Linked DNA regions of Diceros bicornis minor. The protein of the gene in region 2 binds, or shares a complex with, the protein of the main gene of each other region. Links are inferred from orthologs where the notes say so. Each region holds a gene or a part of one and is shown on either strand. Other genes may lie near its edges. The genes, in order: DKK1, LRP6 and SOST.

Region 1 (7,948 bases), on a different chromosome or scaffold from region 2:
ATTCAATCTCATACACCACGATCATTTGAGTTTGTCAATGGAGAACACGTTTTTCTTTAAAATGACTCTAGAGTTGATTAACATTGTCTTATATTTAGACATCTTTCTCTGATCATCTTTAAACACGTCACATTTCTGTCCCTATAGACCACACACACACACGCCTCTCAGATCACAATGCTAAAATTTAAACTTGTAACATTTCATAGTATTAAATGTTAAATTTTATTTCAAGGGCTATCACAGCCTAGAGATAAATATAATCTAAGCACTGAGATAGTACATTTCAGAAAATAAGCTAATATTTTCATGATAAATTTTAGATACCTATCATTTGTCATTCCAAAAGCTCCTTGCATTCTAGATTCTAGAAGTAAAAGGGGAAAGGGTTATGCACTTAAGAAGTATAAGCTGAAATTATTTATTTCAATTCAATATAGAATATTTGTGTCAAGATAACAATGTGTACAAAAATTTACATAACAAGAGGAACAATAGACAATGCAGCACCTGTAGAAAAATAATTAAAAGTTTTGTTGCATTTACAGGTAAGTGCCACACTGAGACTTTACAACACAGTAATTTACTGCAATCAGTGACGAGGAGTTCCATAAAGAAACAAAGCTCTTACACTCCAGATTTTCGGAAGGTATTGGAATGCTTAACTGTAACCACAGAATTTGTACATCCTTAAGGACTGAGCTGACAAAGTCACAAAAGGTTTTCATAGCCTATATTATATAAAAGGAGTCCACTGTGTTCAGACAGCTGGCTTAGTGTCTCTGACAGGTGTGAAGCCTAGAAGAATTACTGGCTTGATGGTGATCTTTCTGTATCCGGCAAGACAGACCTTCTCCGCAGTAACAACGCTGGAATATCTCCAGCCCATGGGAGCCTTTTCTCCTGTGCTTGGTGCACACTTGACCTTCTTTGAGGACGGGTTTACAGATCTTGGACCAGAAGTGTCTAGCACAGCACAACCCTGTGGCACAGTCTGATGATCGGAGACAGACAGAACCTTCTTGTCCTAGGAAGGAGGAGACAAAATGAAAAGTATGTGGTCACTGCTAAGCCTGCATTATTTCATTAAGATAATCCGATGGACACTTCTGATGTGCTAACAAAGAAGAATGAGTCTTAAGGTCCTCCAACCTACCTTTGGTATGATACATTTTTGAAGACAGTGTAGTTCTTCTGGCATACCCATCCAAGGTGCTGTGATCATTACCAAAGCTTTCAATAATGGTTTCCTCGATTTCCCCTCGATGGAAATGATTGTGATCAGAAGGCATACATATTCCTAAGGAAGCAGGAGAGAGTGATTAATTTCTAAGCTGTAATGTGTTACTACCTCCAGCTGTAACAGTGGCAGTCTGGTATGCCTGCACTAACTTGATACCTCATTGCAGTGACATTTTAAGCACAAGCCAAACTTCCTCCCTAGTGTTCATGCAAAACTCCCCAGATGGACAGAAGCATCAGTGTGTACACTGTTCAGTCATATGCGACATCCCATATATAGCCATTTAAAATACTTTCCTACCAACTGTGGTAGTGGCAGTGAGATTTCTGCCCATTTTAATATGACCCTTGGGGTAAGAAAATCAGTCACTTAAAAAATTGTTTTTAAAAATAACTTCTCTGCCCTTGGTGCTATATAGGTACCGCCAGACTAAGTTAAGCAAAAGCAACACCAGCTGCCTGGAAGATTACAATCTCACCCACCAGTTACTTTACTGTATAATTTCTATATTACAGAGATTTAGTTCATCCTGGAGTATTACTGGATCCTAAGGAGGGTCGCCACCCTTAAGTTTATTTCTGGAGACTTCTTGGGCTGAGTCTACCTCTTTGAGACATTGAATTTTAGTGGATCTATGGTGGGAGGGGAAGAGGAGTACTTATTTTAAGGTAGCAGGAGGTGGAGGAAGGGGTAAGGATGGAGAGGCCAAGATGCGAAGCTATCAAGATCTTCCCTAAGGAATGGCCAGCACAGATAAATCATTCTGTTGCAAATGGAAAAGGCAGCTAAACGCCAGAGCTGGTTTCCTTGCTCTCTGTATAATTCCACCTCCCTTCCTCCCCACCTTCTTTCTCAATCCGTGTCAAGACTCCTCAAATTTTTTATGGAAGGGTCCACTCAGAGGTAAGCCGTCGTGTTAAATAATTGAGGGACACAGAGGAAGATAAAGAGCTCCAAGACTTCCGTACTTCTCTCTCCTCCCAGATTAATCACTCGCCATGAAGATATTTCAGGGGAACCTCGCATTCTGAACACCCGTTTGCAGGTGGCGCCACAGCTTCCCAGAGAGCGTTTTCTCCCATCGGTAGGCGCGCAGAAACCGGACAGTTTGAGTCAGAAAGGGAGCGACCGGACTCACCATTTTTGCAGAAGTTCCCAGGGCAGCACATAGCGTGACGCATGCAGCGTTTTCGGCGCTTCCTGCAGGCGAGGCAGATTTGCGCGCTGGCGCCGGCTCCGCGGGTGGGACTCGCGCAGTACTCGTCGGTGCTGCACTCCTCGTCCTCGGCGCACGGGTATGGCTGCGGGAAGGGGGCCGGGAGAGGGTGAGGCATCTGGGCATCCAGGTGCCCACACTCCTGGGTCTCGACGCTCATCACATTTTCTTTCTGCCCACCTGTCCAAAAGCTGTTGCTGCCCACTGCTCCCAAATGCAGTTTCCAAATGCGCCCTGAACCGCACACACTCAGCACGTTCTACGCCTTCTCCCCAAAAGAGACCCTTTTAGGGTCACAGCTTCCCCAGATCCCTGAGACCCTTCTCACCTGGTAGTTGTCAATAGTCTGGTACTTGTTCCCGCCCTCGTACAGAATTCCCGGAGCTGCGCTGACTGCAGAGCCTGGGTGCCCGGCAGCGCCGCCCAGCGGTGGGGGCAGGTTCTTGATGGCGTTGGAATTGACGAGAACCGAGTTCAAGGTGGCGCTAACTCGGAGCAGAGGGTGGCCGCAAAGAGCCGCAGCTACCAGGGTGACCAAGACCCGGGCAACTCCCGCTGCGCCCAGAGCCGTCATCTCAGGAGGACTCGAGAGAGAGAGAGAAAGAGAAAGGAGGGATGTCACTTTGCAAGCCTGGTCCCACCAAGCGGTGCTGCAGAGTCAGGCTTCTGACAGCCTCCAGAGGTCCCAGAGTTCTAACTGCCTGGTGCACAGAGCTCTGCGCCGCCACCGCCACCGCGGCTGCCTTTATACTTGCGGGCTCGGAGCATTCCAGCCCCTCGGGGGGAGACAACAAAGGCGGGATGGGATTTCAAAGCGTTGGGAGGGGCTGGGAGGGGGTGTGTTTGTGTACATGAGGGGGAGCCTTTGACACTCTTCAGCCCACCCCTCCTTTGCGCAGTCGCTCCCCTGGCCCAGCTCACCTTCGGGGTGACCGTAATCAGTGCCCATCAGATCAGACGACTTTTAATAAACACAGGAGAAGGGAGGAACTTCGGGAACTCGGGTGCCCTTGCCTTGCAGTAGGGTCGGATTATCGGGACCTGAAACATTTTTCAGAGGAATTGTGACAGTCTCTGCAAAACCCCTTTTCTCCTCTCTCCCTTATGCCAGTACTGGTTTATTGTGCACATAAATAATATTCAGTATTAAATACAACCCCATCAGTAATCCAAAGTCTCTATCAAAGCATCTTAGCGAGAGGGCCAGGTGGCCGGTGCAAGTTGCTGATTAACCCTTTAGAGTCACGGTTGGTTTGCAGATTTGGGGTGAGGTCTTTGGCTTTAAGTTGGTTCAATTCCTCCCTCTTCCTTCCTCCACCCCCCCCCACCCCTGCCACCGAGAGAAAAATGTGCAAAGAGAAGGAAATTTGCACATCAAACGAGGGTAAGAAGGAAGAAGAACTAATTCTCTTTTGATGGGAAGTTTAGAGAGGGAGGCGAGAGACTGGCGTTTGGAAATGAGATCAGGGGTGGAGGGAAGAGGGAAATGACCATCCGATAATCAAACTATTTAATGTTGTTCTTTGACTCTGAGCAGTCGCGGCAGTAGATGAACTTGATTAGGCAGACGCGCGAGATCAAAGTGGCCAGAGCGAGAGCGGACAGGGTCCAGCGGCCGGGTCAGTCGTCTTTCCCCGGTGCCCCCTTCTCAGTGGTGGGTTAACGCAGGGAGATAAGAAACCCTTGAGGCTTAGCGCCCGACTTCCTCATTAGTATTTCATATCGCAAAGCTTGAGAATGCCTGTGTTTGATCCCAAGTCAGACCATTCCCCGACCGGGGAATATCCCCTCTAGGGAGATAAGAGACTAGCTGCTCGAAAAGGGAAGCTGAAAGTGAATTTGACATCATTTAAATGAGTGTATGAAAATAATGTTAGGCTAGTGCATAAGAATGCTGTCCTGCTTATAAATTGGAAATAATTTATTTTTTCAACAAAAACATATTGGAAGCCTAGTGTCCTGACATTGGGCTTCCCTCCTGGTTGTTGCTTTTTGGGGGGGGGGGGAGGGCAGGGGGGCGCAGTGGATACATATATTTAAGAGACTTTATTCTAATTATAGTAATAATAAAAGATAAGAAGTGTACACAATTCTTTTTAAAACAGGTTGACGTTATAAACTAATGGACAACTGCTATTCGAGGTTAGAAAAGAGATGAATAATCACTGTTGAATAAAAAAGACTAGGATATATTTATTTCATGCTCCCTAACCTCCAGGGTATTTACAATTACTCTACACACTGACCTACTATATTCATGCCTGGTACCACCAAGTATACCCAGTGACAGTACTGAAATGGTATAATCCGAATGTTAAGAGGGGGAGGAGTAATTTCAAAAAATTTTGTAATGGTCTGTATTCTGGTTCTTTGGGTTTCAGAGATCATATTAAGAACATCTTCTAAACAATTCTTTAATAATGCCTCTAATTACACTGGTATCCATCCCATCCCAAATTCCATTTATCTTGTGAAATTTCCTCCGGCTTATTGATAATTCCTGCTTGAAACTGTAACACGGATTAAATCTTACATATTTCTTTAGGTTTTATTATGAACATGTACAATGATCTAGACTTGGCTATTATTCTAGAAATTTTTGGAACAAATTGAAATTTGGAAGCAAAGAAGAGGTTGTTTATATTGGCTTTTAAGTAATGAGGCTAAGAAATGTCGATATACTTTTTATTGAGAATGAGCAATGAGTCAGGTCTCCCTTGGGCAGATATGGCCCTACTCTCAGTCGACTTGAAGTTTATATAGACCGAGAAGATTATAGGATGAAAGGGTAAAGGCATCGGGGATTTGAGATGCCATATTATCACTTGCAGAATATTGATAACAATGTCAATAACCAATGTGCTGAGCACCTTCAGTATGGTAGAAAATCTCCAGTCTGTCTTAAATTCTTACGATGTTGCAATGTGGAGAAAGAATACCCTGTCCTTGGCAAGGGTGAAAATATTTCTTCCTAGTCCCATTATCCTATTTAAATATGTCTAAAAATATGCTTGTGCCACAATAAAGGCCAATCTCTTTTCTTCTTTTCGTAAGAGATGGTACATGTTAGTACATTTAATGAATTTCATTCATTAAGAGCTTGGATTCACAAATGAAACCATTGTCTAGGGGCAAAAAAACGTGGAACAATTTAATCAGCAAAAGGAAAATTTTAACAAAGATATGTTGCATAAATTCAATCTTGATCCCTGAAGCCATGTGTCTGTTATGATTTCATATTCATTGAGCTTGGACAGAATCTGTTGTGTTGAGTTAGGGGAGCTAAGCCAAGAGTAATTGTACCCCTGGGATTACATGAGTGGATTGGGTTCTACCTCCTTCCCCACTTTCCGTGTTGCTCCTGAAATTGTCATGTTTTGAAAGCTAATAATGAATTGGTCAACATCTGGGTTCCTACTATGCGCTAAGCATGGTACTTGGCGCTGTGGGATGAAAGATGAGTTCTCATATTGCCTATCTTCAAATAATTGAGTAGGTGGAGGGTAGGTAAACTTTGAAATTATACAAAAGAGAAATTATGTGGGAGGGCCTTAGAGAGAGCTGTGTATTCAGCAAGCTAATTCTTTGTTCCAAATGGAAAATTTACTATTTCAATGGAGTCTCCATTTGAAAATCCTTTCCATGATTGAGTTTGCTCACTGGCAACAAAAGAGCCGGGTGGGTAAGGAGGTAAAATGAAGTTCATTGTTACATCAGCAGCCAATTAAAATTCAGTGAATGCCCATTATATGCAAAATGCTACCCTGGTACCTTTGGGAGTATACCCTCAAAATATTAAAGGCAGGCTCCTTGTCCTCAGAGAGCTTTCAGTCTATGAGAAGTTGGGGAAACAAATATATTTACTTGGGAATGGAGGTACAAATGGTTCCAAAATAGATTATATTTTGGCACATACTAGGTCATGAGAAAGATAGAAAAATGTCCAGGAATTGTGATCAACAAGCCTCAGGGAAGAGAGGGTTCTGATGACTCTCTCCTACAGCTAGGTGACAGGTGGTGGGAGTCAGATCAGGTGTATTTAGTTTATTAAACCTAGTTTATTTAGTTCTGTAGGGAACCCTGCCTCCTATTTGATCTGGTTTAAATATGACCATAATTAATGCAATAAGTTTAATATTTTGTATTAAATTGTAAAATAGGTGAACATGTTTATCAATGTGGAATCAAGCCTCATAACTCAGGAATGGTATGATCCTTGTGCCTTCCTCTCATTTTAAGTGTCATATGCCCAGCATAGAATACTCAACCTCTTCATCCGTGAGGAAGACAGACGGACAGACAAATATACTCCAAAAAACACGATGCTATTTGCAAACTATTTTTCCATCTTTGTTATTTGAGATTCTTATGTGACTGCTGCATTTTTACTTCACCCTCTTCCTTCCTCTCTTCTTTCCTCCTTCCCTTGCTTCTCTCCTTCTTTCATTCTTTCTCTTTGCTAAATCAAAGGAAGCAGATCTGTTGCCATTTAATTTTACTTGACTAGGAAAACACTGAAAAAATGTCATTCCTTATGGTGAGTGTTGCCAACGTTTTTGTTGGCACTGGTCTTGAATTTATAGTAGAGATTTCTCATTCCTGAGTTTAGTAAAAAATGTTATGAGTTTCTCACTGGCCTTTAAAAGATTTTGGTCTTAATGCTCTTTATGATGTTAAAAGAGCTTTTAGACCAGGCCCCTGTTAGGACTCCTGAGAGGCTGGATTAGGCTTTTCTGCACTCAGTACAAAGAGAAGGCGAGATTTGACAATGATTATGTTTATTTGGTCAGTGGAGATGGCCAGCCCAGATAAATCAGGCTCCATGGCAGCTTTCTAACCCAGCTTAGAAGATGTGTTTTACAGGAGCCAGACATCAAAAACTAATCTGAGAATAGAGCCCAGAACCAGAAACTTTTGACTAAAATCGAGAGAGGACTTCCTGATGTCCTGACACTCAGACAGGTCTGTGGTATATAGTTACAGGGAGTGCAAAATGGTCCCCTTAACATCCCCCTAGAGGATTTGACATTTCCAACCATGAAGACTGGCCCACGACAGCAGAAAGCAGGATGCAAGATCCTTTTGAAACAGGCTCCAAACCTAGAGAAAAATCGTTTTCTTCCATGTCACTGGGTTCCTATTATTACCTCCTTTATAATGCAGGCACTCTCCAAAGGTCGTGGCCAAGAAAGGTATCTGCCAAGATGGCAGGAGTCTGGGGCTGGAACTTGGTGCACTGGGACTTTTACTGTGACAGCCACCAGCTGGCTGGCAAAAAGGGGACATTGGTCAGGCCATTTAGCTCTCAGAGTTGGTCTTTCATTTCTAAAATGGCATGAGAGGGAGGTGGAGAGGTCCTTTCTGACTATAACCCTCCCCCCTTTATTTTAAGCACTGCCTGGACAAGGCCTTTTGTATTCTGATTAAAGTAAGAGCATCCTACAAGAGGCCCCTTCTTTCAGGCAGCCTAAGGATAAAGTAATGATCAC
Region 2 (7,655 bases):
TGATCAAGATCTCTTCTACCTTAAGAATTTGTGAATCTTATACAAATTAGTTTCAAATTCCCAGCATTTGAGAATATGCCCACAGTCAAAAATTATAACAGAAAATAACATCTGCAAAGCACTTTACATTCATTACTTCATTTAATATGCCAAATAAACCGGCAAATTAGTCAGATAGGTATTACCCACATTTTACAGGAAAACAAATTGAGGCCCAGAGAAATTAACTGACAAGACCAGAAACACAAAATTATTGAGTAATGAAGCTTGGACTTTATACCCAAGATTTTAGTTTTGAAATCCCCAAATCTTTCCAATGCAACTTGTCCTCCGATGACAGGGACAGGGAGGCAGCCCAGATGATGACAGCATTATTCCCCGGCTTTCAGCTATTGATTTAACAGGGGTATAGGACAAAACGTCTCCCAAATTCTCATCACCCCATCTTCCCAATGTTAAAGCTCCAACTCTTCTGTGAGGAAAAATCTTTTTTTTTTTTTTTTGTGAGGAAGATCAGCCCTGAGCTAACATCTGCCAATCCTCCTCTTTTTGCTGAGGAAGACTGGCCCTGGGCTAACATCCGTGCCCATCTTCCTCCACTTTATGTGGGACACCGCCACAGCATGGCCTGACAAGCGGTGCGTCGGTGCTCGCCCGGGATCCCAACCCAGGCCACCAGCAGCGGAGTGCGTGCACTTAACCGCTAAGCCACGGGGCCGGCCCAGTGAGGAAAAATCTTAATGCAACAAATTAATCACCTATTTCTCCTTGGAATCCAAAGTTAACTAATATAATTATTATAACAGAGGATGGTGACATTATCAAGGAGTGAAAAGAATCTAAATTATGAATAAAAAGCTTTCACATCAAGATAGTTGAAGTTCAAATAACATGTACACACAGTTAAGTACTGCTAAATTCAAAGACCACCTGATACCATTATTACGCTACATTTAAAATGAGAGCTCCACTTTTGGAAACTTTGTTTGCTAGTGTAAATGAGGCAATTTAAACTATTAGCTCTTTTAGGTCTTGTTACATAAAACCACACTTCAACACGTTACTTCAAGTGCAACTTCTCTCAACTCCAGCAATGAAAAAAACCCGACTCTAGGCTCAGACTTGGTGTTAAAATAAATAAATAGCATTTACATCACTCCCTTCCTCTCCAAGAAATACAACTGGGTAACCAGAAACATCCCGGGTTATGGGTTTAGAGTTCTCCAAGATTCTAACCAATCAGCTGACTCTCATATTTCTTAACTCTACTAACCTTCTGTCTTAAAATATATACTTATTCTTATGTCAAATATAATTGTTTCTCACAGCTATAGCAAAATTCCCTCTCAACAGGGAGTATACTATAATAAACATATACTTATTAAACCTCTAAGTTCATAACACTGCATTAAATTCTCTGTCAAGACAATTAAATGATCACTATATTTCTGGGATTTACATATGTAAATAGTTCATAATAGGCTTACCGTGAGTCCTAATTATTAAGTAGATATAACATGCAAACGTAATAATTCCGCAGAAGAGTACAGAAAAAAGTTCCTCCAAAAAAAAAAAAAGTCAATCTCTCCCATCCAAAATAAATATATACACACAGAAACGGCATGTGTCATTTATTGCACAGGATCATTGGTTACTATCGTGTTCTGCAAACTTCAGTAAGTTTTGGAGGCTTAACAAACGTTTAGCTTGTTAAATTAATAGCTAAAATCTTCATAGACTCAAGGGGTCCCATACCTGAAAAGAACTGACCATGAGGACAAGTGAGAACTGTAACAAAACCAAAGCTACAAGCCACTGCATCCATCAGTACTTAAATTCCTCTGCTGGTAAACGCTCAACAGCATCAGACTCATCACCACTTCAACACTGATAAGTTTGAGAGCTGCCGAAATCTTGCAGACCAGTCAAAAACCTTGGTGAACTGTCACAAAATAAAAGTCAGAACGTATGTGACAGCTTTGCAGGCCAATTCCAAAAACCACCAGACCATCGAATTTATGCGATTCTCGGAGCAAATTATCCAGAATAGCCTGTGTTATTTACCAAAGTGCCAAGCAGTCCCCAGGGGAGCGCAGCAAATGATAACTTAGGTCCCAGGACAGGCTCCTCTTCACACATGGATAACTTTCCTACTTAGTGCCAACTGTACACTTGCACGCTCCGAAAATAGGGGCAGGTCCTGCACATCAGGGGTAACAAGGGCAACGTTTCTATTTTATTATGGGCTGAGGCTCCCAAGAGTCCCAAGGCTGAAACGCTCGACCTATATAACCTCGGAGTCACTTTCCAACTGTGCCCTCACCCAGGATCATTATATCCCCCACGGAAGCCAATTATTAGTTGTTACACGGCCTGGAAAAATAGGAAGAGGGCTCTCAAAGTTCACATAAGAGACACGGGAAAGGTGGGGGCTTCGAGAGGGAAGGCCAACGTTAAAGCATCTTGGGCTCGAACATGTTAAAAGCCAAAATACATACAAAGACCCTTCTCCTTGCGGACTCCAGGCAGAAGGGGACACGCAGACCCTCAGTCATTCCGAGAGAAAGGGGCTCCAGGGGGTCACCAAGCCAGGCAGCCCGGATCGAGGCTCCGATCTGTCCAGATAAGGTCGGGAAACCTAGGCGGGGGTCTGCATGGTGGCCCGGCGGGGCGCACAGCCCCTTCTCCCGGGCCCCCTTCTCGCTCCTTCCCCACCACCAGGCCTCTCCTCTCTCCTCTTCCCCTTCTCCTTCCTCCGTCCCTCCCCTCCCCCCAGACACACACCAGGCCACCTCCCCCCCAAATCCCACCAACTTTCCCGTCCCCCTCCCCGTTCTTCCCACCTCTCAGGAGCACACAGAAACTGCAGGCCAGGAGGCTCCTCAGGACGGCCCCCATCTTCCCTTCTCGCGTTCTCTCCTCTCACCGGCGAGGGGCGGCCAGACCAGGGGGAGGCAAGGAGCCGGGGCGGCCGCCGCAGCGGCAGGTCTGCATGCTCATGCTTCCCAGCTTTCCAGAGAGAGAAGAAAGAAAGGGGCACGTCAAGGCTCCGCGCGCGCCGCCGCCGCCGCCGCCCTCTCTAGCGCGCCGCTCTGCCCGGGGCTCGCGCGACGCCAGCGTCTGCTCCCATCCCGCCGCCTCCTCCCCTGGCGCCCCGCTTCCCCCGCGCAGCTCCTCATTCAGCCTCTTCCTCTCACGCAGCGGCGCAGGGATACGGCCGGCCGCCGCCGCCGCCAAAGTCTCCCTGCGCGCGGACGAGCCCCCTCCCTCGGCGCCGCCTCCCGTGCGGTTATGAAAAGAAGTGGGGGCCGCGCGCACGGCCTCTGCTTGGCGACCCCGGGAGATCTGCCGGGCGAGCAGAAGCGAGCTGGAGGCGCAAGACTGCCAGGCGGCGCATTCCAATGGGATTCTTTCCCGAGCCGGCCGCTTCGGCCCTCCCCGCGGAGGGCGTGAAGCGACGTCGAGCAACACTGGAGACGGCGTGGTCGGGACTTCTTTCTGCGGCTCGGCCGGGCCGCCGCCTGTTCTGTTCTTTGTGCGGCCGGCGCCTGCAGAGCCAGGTGCAGCTCTTGGTCCACGCCGGCTGCCACCTGGGCCGGAGGAAGGGGTGGCGGGCCCGGGGCCGCGGAGCTGCAGGTCCACGCTCCCGGAGCCCCGCGGATCCCGACACGGGGTGAAGAGCTCGATCTTCAGGGTTGGAAATTGGTGTAAGCATCTTTTTTCTTTTTGCAAGGAAAATAAAAACTAATGCTGCTTGCACCAGCTTTAAACGTGGATCTAGTGAACGGTGTTCAAACGCCAACTCAAACTGAGATTTGTATTTTCTCCTGGCTTCCCAGAACTGCAGAGTGCCCCCAGAATTAAGTCCGACAAGAACTAACGATTTCTAAACCGGTGGATAAAATTCCAAAATAAATGCGTCAACACCTAAGACAGAGCAAAGGGACAATTGATCAGGACTGTATTTGGGATTTTACAAGTTGCTTTGAATGATGACTGTTTGGCATGTTTTGATGATCAGTTCCCAGCTTGAGAAGGAAAGGATTCCCCAGAATGTCAGACTCTGATTTTGCACAGCCTCTGCTATTCTCCGTGCACAGGGCGTTCAGGAGTAACGGCCCAGACGGCCCCTGCAATCACGTGGCAGCTTCAGTCTAGGAGGGCACTCCACCGCCAGTTGACCGTAATGGAGCCATCAGGTGCATTCTGCCCAGCTGTCACACGCCCTTACCTGGGGGCAGATGGGCGAGGAGGTGGAGCTACTCCCGCAATGTTACCAAAATCTCAGAGACATTGGAGTTCACCAAGTGCTTGCACACACGTTATAAGATTTGAACTCAAAACTCCCCTGGAGTAAGGCGGATTTTGTTATTTATCATTCTCACTGCACAGAGAAGGAAAATGAGAACCTGAGGCGTTCAGTGACTTACCCAAGGCCACTCAAGGAGTGAATAGCAGGACTCGAACCCAACCCAGGTCTTCCCATTACGGACACTCTGCTCCTTCCAACAAAGGCACCCTGAACCAAGGGGATGCCTGTGTGTCATCAGACAGCCAAATCACTTTCCCCTAAATTCACCAGCGAAAGGCTAACCGCCACTGATTTAAATTATCTTCTTCCAAGAGTCGCGTCAGGACTCTGCAAGTTTTGTATTCTAGTCTCCTCAGAACCAATAACTGAGAGCCAGGTTTTTCAACAGTAGCCTAGGGAATGTATTATGGTGAAGCTAGTGAGGCTGCGGAGACACCATGATGCGGCAGGGAAGGCATGAGCTTTGGAATGAGGGTTAGTATCCAGACCCTCCCAGTTACTAGATGTGTCATTCAGACATATTTACATACACTGCACCTCAGTTTTCTCCTCTATATAATGGGGATAATACCTCCTTCAGGCTTGTGGTAGATATTAAATTAAATATCTATAAACTGCTCAATATATAATAGGTGCTCGATAAATGATCATTCCCTTTCTCAGCTCCTTCAAGGGGAATGGTATCATAGTAACTTGGAATCCTTGGGAAATAATGGAAGAGAGAGGACAATTCCATGCTCGAGATGTTTATTCCAGGATTATTTATAATTGGAGGTAGAGAACTGTGAAGCTAATGAAAATTAACCCTCAGGACCCCTCACTTTCACAGTTCTCTTCCAAAGCCCAGGGAGGAGCCCCAACAATGTGTTCACATGGTCCTATTTGCAAAAGTAAGATAATTTTGTGTGCTTTTTCTGAAAACATTCCTCAAAATTATGTAAATTTCAAGTCCCACGAAACCTGGATCTGTTCCTATTTATCGTAGAAAACTCGTTTACAACTTAAGTCTCTTTAGGCTGTCAACCTAAGTAGGGTAATGAAGTATTATATTCCAACAATGTTGGAAAATGTTTACAATTAGTTAAGCTTAAAAAGATGAACGTGCATGTACATTTTAACTTCAGCTATGTAAAATATGAATGCATATACATGTGTAACATAAACACATATATAATCACATATTTGAGCAAAGACCAAAAGTAAATGTGCTAAAACAGGGATTAAGATGGTGAAATAATATGAGATTTACTTTATTTTTCTGTTCTTAAATTTCCTTTAGTGTATTTTTTACAATTTTTAAGGTACTTAAGTGAAAATCTATAGCTTAAGCTTAAGCCCTAGCGAAGATGCTGTTCTTACTACCTAATTTGTTTTCGTATTCATTCAAGAGCCTATTAAAAATACTCAGTGCCTGTCACTATGTTAAGTGCTGGGGATGCAGAGATGAGATTAATCATAGTCCCTACCCTCAAGAAACTTACAACCTGTTTTGGAAACGCTAATTATTACAACAAATAATTAAAATGTTAAAATTGCTATAGTGCAAGTTTGTACCATATCAACAACAAACTCAAGTGCAGAAGCACTTAAGTCTGCCTGAACAATTTAAAGAAGAGAAAATAAACTTGGAGCTGAGTCTTGAAATATAAATCGGAGTTCATCAGGCCAAGAAGACTGACAAGGAATTCCAAGCAGAAGGATAGCAGGTGCAAAGGCACTGAATTATTAGAGAGCTTGGCATGTTGGGGATTTGAAAGGAGATCCATGTAGCTGAAGCATAGGGTGCTTTTAGACAGTGTCAGGAAATGAGGCAAGACCGTAAGTAGGTATTGGATAATAAAGAGCTTTTTAATTCATGCTAAGAAGTTTAGATTTTAGCCTGTTGATGATGTAGACACTGAAGGATTTTTCTTACGGTGGAGAATTGATTTGCATGTTAAATAATTTCTCTGGTAACAGTGTAGATAATAGAAGGGAGGAAGGCAAAAAGTAGGAAGACCAGTGAGGAAGTTATTTTTAGTATGAAAGCGAGGGTCAGGACAGCAGCACTGGGCGTTGAAAAGAGATGATGGATTTCAGGACTATGAGATGAAAACAGCAGGACTTGGTAACCTATCAGTGAATTGAGAGAGAGAATAGTCTAGGATGAATTTCCAGGTTTCCAAGTTATGCGCGGCAGTGAATGAGAGTCTCATTTTCTAAGAAAAGAAATGCATAAGGAGTATTTCAAGATGGGGTGTTGATAAGTTGAACAATGGGTCTTTTATATTGGCAGTGTCTGTAAAATATCCAGCTGGAGATGTCCAGTAGACAGTTTTGATATAGAAGTTTGGACTCAGGAGAGGAAAGGAAAACACAGCTCTCAGCGCTGATGGTGGAGCTTGTATACCACCCAATCCACGGGACATACTGTACAATATTAAATCGTGATTGAATAGTTATTACCACAGTTTTGTGGACAATGACAGTCAGACGTCTTCAGGAAGGGAAACTCTTTTCTAATTCAGGTGAATTCACCCTTGAGCCACCTCATTGGTGGCTGGAGGGTAGAGATTATAGTTGAAACCATAAACTTACCTAAGGAGAGAATAGAGCATTTAGCGTGACTAGAAAAGTGAGCCAGGGCAGAACCATGTGATATACAAGTATCTAGGAATAAATAGAAGAAGAGAAGCTACAGAAAGAGACCAAAAGAGGCAAGTGTAAAACTGGTTGAAAGTGTTGCCTTGAGAGAAGGTGTGTCAATAATGGCAAATACAGTAGACAGCAGAGAAGTCTGCTAATAGAAGCACTGAAAAGAGGCCGTTGTGACCTATAACTTCCCAAAACGTCATTGAGGGGACCATACGTTATGCCAACATTTTAGGAAAGCAATCTAGGAGTAAAATATACACACTTTTTACACTAGAATCCCACTTCTTGGAATTTATCCACAGAAACAAAAGTTTATAGAGATATGCATACATAGATATTTATTATAACATAGTAATAGAAAACAAACAAAACAAAAAGGAAGCCTATAAAAATGGCAGTTTTATATGGTTCGACCTAATCAAAAGAACCTGAATGCATTTCAATTGTTAAATAAATAATGGTATACCCTTATGTGGCATACTGTACAGCTGTTAAAAAGAATTATATATATTGATCTGGAAGTGTAACCATGATATGTTGTTAATTGATAAGCAAGTTAGAGAATAATATGTACAATGTGATGGAATTTTTGTTTACAAGAAAAGAAGGAATGAAGGGAAGGAGAAAGGGAGATAAGAAAAGGGAGAAATCATATGTACTTGCATACCTGTCTGTTTTGGATTTCGATGGACAAAGCAAAAAGTGTGAA
Region 3 (8,319 bases), on a different chromosome or scaffold from region 2:
TGCCGCGGCCGATGGCGTTGGGCAGCAGGCGCGCCGGGCCGCACTGGCCCGAGCACACCAGCTCGGTGACCGGCTTGGCGCTGCGGCACGGCCCGTCGGTCACGTAGCGGGTGAAGTGCAGCTCGCGGCAGCTGTACTCGGACGCGTCTGCGGAGAGAGGCGCGCGTGAGGGCGACGGCCAGGCCCAGCCCCCGATCCCCGCCCGGCCAGGCTCCCTCCACGCCACTCCCGCGTTTTCCAAACCTGCCTCTCTCCAGACGCTCTTGCCCCTGGGAGTTATTATGGGAAGGGCCCAGGGACTCTGGGGCTGGTGGAAAGCCCCACCCTGACCCTGACCCACCCTCTCCCCCTAATTCTTTGGAGCCAGTGACTGCTGTGGTTCAAACACCAACTCCATCACTGCGTGATCTTGGGCAAGTTACTTAACCTCTCTGTGCTTCCTATCTGTAAAATGGGTTGTCTTGAGTATTCAGTGAGTTAACCCATTACATAGATAATGCAGGGGACGCCACTAGGCGCGTGGTAAGAACTGAAAGTGTTGGCTATTGTTATGTGTTGTTATTATTCGTCTCTAAGGGGGCCCTCTTCACCAGACTGAAGTCACACCTGTGCCACAGGGTCCCTAGCCATGGAGGGTAGGTGGTAGCCACACCCTCTGCATGGCTCTGGCTTCTCCCAAATTTCTTTTCCAGCCACTTGGGAGGGGTGGAGAGGGGATGGAGACAGGAGTAGGGGTTAATTGGAGGTAATAAGTCAGGGCAGCTGCTGGGAGGAGAGGGCTGGAAGGGGAGGTGGAGAGAAGTCTTTCGACTTGAAAGGAACCAAAGGCAGCCTGTCAGACCCCCTCATTATCACTGAGGACACTGAGGCCCAGAGAGGGAGAAGGGCTGGCTCAAACGGCAGACCTGGGTCTCCTGACTCCACTTCCCTGGCGCCCCGGAACCTCTCAGCTCCCACAAGGGTGGAAGCTGTGTGCCTGATCACCCATGGGAGGCTAGGCTGGGGGAGGGGCGAAGGGCTGCTTTTTACTACAGTTACTTCCCTACCAGAGGAGGACCAAGCTTGGACTGAAAACCTACAGTTTCGGCTGCCACAAACATTAAGCACTTGCTGTGTACCAGGCACTCTGCTGGGCCATTTGATGGACAGGCTTGCTCCCTGGGTCCGGGGAGATTGGGCTCTGAGGCCTGGCTTGGTCCCCCCAAGACATCTTGATCATGTTTCCTACTGTGGGCTTAGTCTGCTGGGAGCCTTTTAAAGAGCTGGTCCTCATGTGAGCGCCTGTCTACCCCCAAGGGTCTCATGGGGACAGTTACCATGTGACACGAAGGGGTGAAAATAGTCCTAAGAGCAAAACCAGAGAGGGGGCAGAGAAGGCCAGGCCCCCACCCCCAGGCGCTGGAGGACAAGCACAGCAGGGGAGTTGTGGGGTTTGCCTTCCTTCCCTGGCTGGCCTTCTGGTTTCTGGGCTAGTTTGGCATCCTCACCCCTGCTCCCAGGCTGTGGTGTGTGGGAGTGACCTGTTTGCCCAGGGAAGGAGGCAGTTTGGGTCTTTCCAAGAATAGTGACCCTAGGTCAGGTGCTTCCTCTGCAGAGGGTGACTTTGTTTTGAGCACGTGGCTTCATTGGGGCTTGTGCCTCTCATGGGAGCCCAGGGAGGTGGATGTCTTGTACTTGAGTCCCCTACAGCCCACTGCTGGAGCTTGGTGAACTTGCCTGGGGGAGAGCGGGGGAGGGGCCTCCTGCTCTCCCGTTTTGAAGACCTGAGGTCCTCCAGCCTCTCTGGGGTTGCCCTTTGCAGAGCCCCACATTCCCAGGTGGTCGTGAGGCGGGGAGGGATGGGATGCAGGAGCCTGGGCAGTGGACTCCTCTCCCACCTGGACAATGGCCAGAGGGCAGTGAGGCCCTCACTCTGAAGTGTCATTCCAGTCCCTGCCCCCAGCCATTCCTGCCAGCTGCAGAGCCAGCTGTGCACACTGCCTCCCAGGCTCCTGTGTGCAGACCTGAGCAGGAACCCAGCTGTGCCCTCCACCGGGGCCACTGCCTTTTCACTAGGGCCAGGCTCCCTCCCCAGGAATGAGGCAAGGCTGGGTCTGGGTTGGGGACTCAGGACAGACAATGCCACCTGTGTCCACTCCCTGCACAGAGGATGCTGCCTCTTCTCCAGGCCCTGGACCCAGCTGCCACCTAGGTCAGAGGCTAAAACTGTGCCTACAACCCCCGTTCCTTCAAGTGCCGGCTCACTGGGCAGACCGTGGGCAGGGGGGCCAACGGGGAGCCTTTCTGGCGTCCCTTTCCCACTTCTCTGCGAGGATTTGCTCTGGCTCTTGGTCCCCAACACCCCCACACAATCCCCCCACCAGAGTTGTCTTGGAATTGGCTCAAATTGGGTTCAAATCTCAGCTCTTCTACTCACTACCAAGTTAGTCTCTGGAGCCTCGGTTTCTTCACCTCAAACTGGGAGTTCCCCTCATGGGGCTCCCACACTGTGGGTCTCTGGGGACAGGACAGGCACGGCGGCGTAGTGTCTGGCTTCCAGCAGGTGCTCAGATGACAGGCTCCCTTGCCTTGTCCCCTCCCCAGTGGTGCCAGCAGCTGGACCTGTACTCCTCTATTCTCAGGAGGGGATTCTTTGAAACCTTTTTTCAGAGCCCCTGAGCCTGTCCCAGTGCTGTACCCTCACCACCTGAGCCTCCTTGCTGCCCCGGGCTCTCACTGCCAGCCTCCTGCCAGCCTCACGCCCCTGCACTCCAGTTCCAAGGCTACACTGGCATGCCATCCTTCCCCTGCCTCCAGGCAAGACTGTCCCTCCACCGGTGCTGGCAGTGGCTGACAGTCTACCCCAGTCTTCAAAACCTCCCACAGAGAACCCACCAGGACCCATGTGCTACAGAGTCTCTCCTCCCCCGTACCTTTGGTCTCAAAGGGGTGGTGGGGAGGCCTCCCTCCGTTCTCCGCCCGGTTCATGGTCTTGTTGTTCTCTGGCTCTGGGGGAGGCTCGGGGTACTCGCCCAGCTCAGGGATGATTTCCGTGGCATCGTTCTTGAAGGCCTGCCACCCCTGGCCCTCCACCACGTGGAAGGCTGCGTGGACCAGCAGGCAGACGAGACACAGGGCGAAAGAGAGCTGCATGGTGCCAACCGTAGGAGAGCACCCAGCCTTCCAGGAGCACAGGCTCTGGTCCCCAGCCCGGACACGGTTGCCTTTTTAAAGCCCCCTCTGCCTCATGCCAGCCAATGAGGACAGGCTGGGGCAGGGCTGGTCCCATGCTTCCCTCAGCCCAGGGGGAGGGAACAGGCTGTGCTCCGAGCAAGCCCTCTCCAAAGACTTCTTCTCAAGCCCAGAAAACTCCCAAATTGCTGCTGGTGCTCCCAGGTGACCCAGGGAGAGCAGGGCGTGTGGGGCAAGCCTGCCCTCCAACACCTCCCACGTGCAGGCGGCTGTGGTTTTCGGATATCAAATGAGTTCCGGCTCTTCATCTCTACCTCCCTGGGTCCCTCGGGCTTTCTCAAAACAAACTGTGGACCAGCTGAACACAGAAAACTGCAGCTCTGGGTCCTCCACAGGGCTGAGCCCAGCCAATCCCATTTCTCAGGCCAAATGCATTTGTCATCGCACCAATAAATGGCCCTAGGGGTGTATATTTGGCCCCCACAGACCCAGACAGAGGCAAAAGGATGCTTTTTAAGAAATCTCATCGGGTTAGCTCAGGGCCGGTCTTCCTCAGCAAAAAGAGGAGGATTGGCATGGATGTTAGCTCAGGGCTGATCTTCCTCACAAAAAAATAAAAAAAGAAGAAAAGAAAAGAAATCTCATTGGTCCCAACTCCATGAGGCTCAGCATTATCCTGACCAAGAAAGCCCTTCTTGACATCCTCTGGAAGGCAAGAGAGAAAACTGGGGGGGGGGGGGGGGGGGGGTCACACTGAACATGCCTGCTTGGGTGAGGGGCAGGGACTCTGGTGACAAGGCCGGGATGAGCAAGTCAGCAGGCTCTGGCGATGAGCTCGAGGAAACCTCAGCTCATGCTCCTCGGGGATCCTGCACACGGTGACAGGCACTTTATGGCCAGGACACCCTAGGGCTTGCAGGCTGATGTGCCAAAGGCAGTTATTTCCCCAGCCGGGCTGTGGGTAGGAGTGGGGAGCACAAAATCCCTTTTCTTAGCAAAAGCCAGGGCCAACATTTTTAGTGCTGAGATTTTTTTTTTTTCTTGTCTCCCAGCCCACCACAGTTTTCAAAAGCAGCTTTGAGTGCTAGATGGAAAAGCTTATTGGTGCAAGTCACGGGCTGCATTCCATGAAGCCATCGCAGGTCCAGCTAGCCACAAAGAAACGAGAAGGAATTGCTACCTCAGCCCTGGAGCAGAATGAGGGGCCTTGAAGAGGGAGAGGCACGGGGCAGGAAGGTTCACACCTGAGGTGCAGGAAAAGAAAGGAGGGCCAGCGGAAGCTTTCATCCAAAACGGATTGTTTGAGGAGCCGCGCCCACTCCTGGCCCTGAAGGGAGGCTGGGAAGAGGGCTGTGGCCTAGGTCTCCTTGGTATTTCCACTGGGCCATGAATCAGTACGCCCCACCTGCAGAGCCTCTGCCAGGCTTTTGCCACCTGCCTCGACTTGTAGGTCGCTGTGTCCATCTGCGGCCGTCTGTCCCTCCTTCTTTCCATCATCCATCACTCGACACATGAATGCAGCTGCTCTGACAGTTTTACAAGCCAGACAGAAGCCTCTGCAGGAAGGGCCCTCTCTGATACCTGCTTCCTATGTCAGTTTCCTTCAGGGCAGACGAAAACAGCTGTGGCCATTGTTGGGGGTGATCTATCTCTCCCAACAGAGCCGGTGTATTGTGAGAAGCTGGCCCTCTGTGCCCCCTCCCCTTGTCTGTGACCCTCCAGCCTCCTTTCTCCTTGCTCTGGAATGTGGACCGTTAACCCCGTCGTGGCTGCACAACTGCCTTCTGGGCCTGGACTTCAGAGAGGGCAGTTCTGACGCCTGGATTCCTTGAGCTGGCGCGATTGATGCTGGAGCCCCACCTGCTGTTGGGAGCCAGCCCATCCACATGAACCCCGCGACTGTGAGGGCCATCTTTGGAACATTTCTGCCACCTGCTGGAGAAGGAAGGAGGAGCCAGCGACCGAAGGATGGAGAGGCTCAGTATTGCTTTATTTCGTATCATTACTTTATTTGAAACTGAAGTAATGTTAAGAGAAAAAAGAGAAGAATCCAATGGACTTGAACCTCTAAATTATCTCCTTCTTTTTTAATTATTCTCTGCCAATGTATAGCCATGCTTTTTACAGAAGGGCTCAGAGAGAACATGCTATGATACCATCTGCTTTTTCACTTAACGCTAATTCAGCTTTCTATTTACTCAGTCCACAAGCTTGTCGTTGTTCAGAGCTAGACACTATTCCCCAGGGTTAAACCCCCAGGGTTTTAGCAGACTTCTGTTGTAGGTAGTTTAGGTTTTAGCATTTCCAATGCTCCCTTATCCTCAGTAGGGATGCTATGAACATCCTTGTACAAAGTAATTTTTTGAATTAAACTTTTTGTTTTGGGATCTTTGTAAATTTGCATACACTTGTAAGAAATAATACAGAGAAAATTCCGTATACCCTTTACCCAGTTTCTCTCAAGTAACATCTTGCAAAACTATAGGACAATATCACAGCCAGGATCTGGACATGGATACAATCCCCCAATCAAATTGAGAGTACCATTTTAGCTGTACTCGTGTGTGTGTGTGTTTAGTTCTATACAACTTTATCACATGTGTGGGGTCAAGTGTCCACCATCACGGCCAAGATGAAGAACAACTTGTGATCAAAAAGATCCCTCTCGTGGTCCTTTTATACCCACACCCACCCTCCCCAAGCCCTCCCTCTTCACCCCTAACCCATGGTACCACTAACCTGTTTTCCATTTCTATAATTTTGTCATTTTGAAAATGTTATATAAATGGAATCAACCAGTACGTAAGCTTTGAGAATTGGCTTTCCTCACTCATAATTCTCTGGAGATTCATCCAAGTTTTGCATGTATCAACAATTTGTTGCTTTTTATTGCTGAGTAGTATTCTACCAAGTAATTTTTTTTTAACTTTAGGGTTATTTCCGGAAGCAAATGCTGGGTCTGAGAGGGTGAATGATTTTGCTACATATTGCAGGGTTGTTCTCCAGAAAACCCAGTCATTTCCTCAGTCCCACCAGCGACATACAAGTGGGCACGTGCATTAGCTTGTGAGGGCTGCTGAAACAGATACCACAAACTTGGGGCTTAAACAACAGAAATGTATTGTCTCACAGTTCGGGAGGCTGGAAGTCTGAGATCAGAGTGTTGGCAGGGTTGGTTCCTTCTGAGGGCTGTGAGGAAGAGTCTGTTTTGTGCGTCTCCCCTAGCCTCTGATGGTTTGCTGGCATCCTTGGCATTCCTGAGCTTGTAGAAGCTTCACCTCGATCTCTGTCTTCATGTTCACATGAGTTCTCCCGGTGTGCGTCTGTGTCCTCATTCCCCCTTTTTATAAGGATGTCGGTCACAGTGGATTAGGGCCCACCCTAATGACCTCATCTTAACTAATTACATCTACAAGGACCCTACTTCCAAATAAGGTCCCATTCTGAGGTACCAGGGCTTAGGATTCAACATATGACTTGTGGAGGGACACAATTCCATCCATAACAGCATGTTTCTCCACAAAGCTGCCAACACACCGGGTTTGAGCTGTTAACATTTTTTAAATTGAATTTAGTAATTTAATAGTTGTACCTTAACTCCTAGTGAAGTTGTTTTTCTGTGTGATTATTTACTGGCTTCTACCAAGCTGCCTATCCACTTGCCAAACATTTAATGAAGCAAGGCCTCCCACCAGGCTTCCAGGAGCTCCTGTACCAGAGAAGTAATAAGTTCTCCACCCAAATAACTCCAATAGCACGTAGAAAGTGATTGGTACCACTAAGAAATGGTTCAGATGTGTTTTTTTAAAAGGACAAAGTGTTCTGGGCCTTAGGAGGAGAGAATAATTTCTTCCTTGCTGAGGTGGACTTGGCATCCTCACGGGAAGACGTAGCATTTGGACCAGACTTTGAAGGACAGGCCAAATTTGGCAAGTAAGTTATGCTCCTTGGACCTCTTAGGATCACAGAATCTTTGATCTGAAAGGAACCTCAAATGTCACCTAGTTTCACTGTCTACTTGGTTCTCAAGCTCCCTGACTCTAATTCATGGAAACTGAGGATTCTCCTTATTGGCTCCATTTTTAAACAGATTTTGCTTCCACAGGTCAGTGGTAAAAATGGAGTCTCTGGGGGCCGGCCCCATGGCCTACTGGTTAAGTTCAGTGCGCTCTGTTTCGGCGGCTGGGGTTCAGATCCTGAGCACGGACCTACACCACTCATTGACGGCCATGCTGTGGCAGCAACCCACATACAAAATAGAGGAAGATTGGCACAGATGTTAGCTAGGGCAGATCTTCCTCAAGCAGAAAAACAACAACAAAAAATGGAGTCTCTGACTTTGGAGAGCAATTTCTGCAGGTCATTTCCTGCATTGAGGGAGGTCCACGTCACCCTGTCTCTATTCAAGCTGAGAACTTGTTCTCTGTAGAGTTCGGGGTCTCAGCACAGGGGAAACGCCCTCCTTGTTCATTCAGCAGCTTCCGAGGGACAAGGGGGAGAGGAGCTCCAACGAGCTTTGTCACTCACCCTCCTGCCTAGAATAGGCGAATGGCTCCCCCGGCCCTAACAGGATAACCTTCCACTTCCTTCTGCCTGGCAGACCATGCCCTTCAAGGTGGGGCCCTGACTCATCCCCAGCACCTCCCCAACTGCCATTCAATTCAAACTACCACCCTCTGCCTGCAGAGCCCCTGTCTGCAAACTCTTGTTAAAGAACAAGGTATTTATGATGCTTGTTAAAAATGGTAAAGAAAACTTTATTCAAGGGAGTACTGTGGTGAGAGGTATAGGGCCACTGCAATGGGCTCTTGCAGTGGGGGAGAGAGATTGGGCTCCACGCCGAATACGAGGTAAAGTGGGGTCTATAGCCAAGGAGCAGGGAGGGGGGCAGTGAATGAAAAATTACTAAGAGGAAGTATTAGGGGTAAGGGTGATTTTGGCTACCCCAACCTAAGAGGATTCTTGGTGAAGGCAGGCCAGGGTGGTCAGACTTCACCTGGGGGGTCATGGGGGATGAGGAACCCAAATAGACATTGAGGGTGATCAGATATGGAGGGTGGAGGATTCTTACTAAAATTGAATAATACAGAGAGGAACAAGGAAACCCAAAAGTCGAGGCCCAGTTGAAAAAAGCTCAGAGGAGCCTAA

The links.
Region 1: the proteins of LRP6 (region 2) and DKK1 are in contact, whole or in part, in a crystal structure (PDB 3S8V), measured with the Homo sapiens proteins. The link is inferred for Diceros bicornis minor from reciprocal best matches to the Homo sapiens genes LRP6 and DKK1. Residues at the interface, in NP_001401174.1 of Homo sapiens: Arg639, Glu663, Ser665, Ile681, Tyr706, Glu708, Thr724, Arg751, Trp767, Gly768, Gly769, Pro771, Val790, Gly791, Arg792, Asp811, Thr812, Asn813, Leu814, Pro833, His834, Phe836, Trp850, Ser851, Tyr875, Met877, Arg1184; in NP_036374.1 of Homo sapiens: Glu185, His204, Phe205, Trp206, Ile209, Gln218, Val219, Thr221, Arg224, Arg225, Ser228, Gly230, Leu231, Glu232, Ile233, Phe234, Arg236, Ser258, Leu260.
Region 3: the proteins of LRP6 (region 2) and SOST are in contact, whole or in part, in a crystal structure (PDB 6L6R), measured with the Homo sapiens proteins. The link is inferred for Diceros bicornis minor from reciprocal best matches to the Homo sapiens genes LRP6 and SOST. Residues at the interface, in NP_001401174.1 of Homo sapiens: Arg28, Asp52, Val70, Ser71, Glu73, Leu95, Ser96, Asp98, Glu115, Arg141, Trp157, Trp183, Asn185, Ala201, His226, Phe228, Trp242, Met269, Arg336, His361, Asp379, His404, Asp406, Thr422, Glu447, Arg449, Trp465, Trp491, Asn493, His534; in NP_079513.1 of Homo sapiens: Leu115, Pro116, Asn117, Ala118, Ile119, Gly120, Arg121, Arg169, Thr171, Arg172, His174, Asn175, Gln176, Ser177.

Annotation. Positions count from the first base shown.
Region 1 is NC_080745.1:51,554,745-51,562,692, forward strand, and holds the start of DKK1 (dickkopf-related protein 1), read right to left. Parts: upstream 3,158-7,948; 5' UTR 3,034-3,157; coding exon 2,788-3,033; intron 2,545-2,787; coding exon 2,382-2,544; intron 1,301-2,381; coding exon 1,157-1,300; intron 1,028-1,156; coding exon 774-1,027; 3' UTR 1-773. UniProt on the Homo sapiens protein: Antagonizes canonical Wnt signaling by inhibiting LRP5/6 interaction with Wnt and by forming a ternary complex with the transmembrane protein KREMEN that promotes internalization of LRP5/6.
Region 2 is NC_080756.1:48,574,141-48,581,795, reverse strand, and holds the start of LRP6 (low-density lipoprotein receptor-related protein 6), read right to left. Parts: upstream 3,068-7,655; 5' UTR 2,899-3,067; coding exon 2,844-2,898; intron 1-2,843. UniProt on the Homo sapiens protein: Component of the Wnt-Fzd-LRP5-LRP6 complex that triggers beta-catenin signaling through inducing aggregation of receptor-ligand complexes into ribosome-sized signalosomes.
Region 3 is NC_080757.1:42,474,164-42,482,482, forward strand, and holds the start of SOST (sclerostin), read right to left. Parts: upstream 3,269-8,319; 5' UTR 3,133-3,268; coding exon 2,913-3,132; intron 148-2,912; coding exon 1-147. UniProt on the Homo sapiens protein: Negative regulator of bone growth that acts through inhibition of Wnt signaling and bone formation.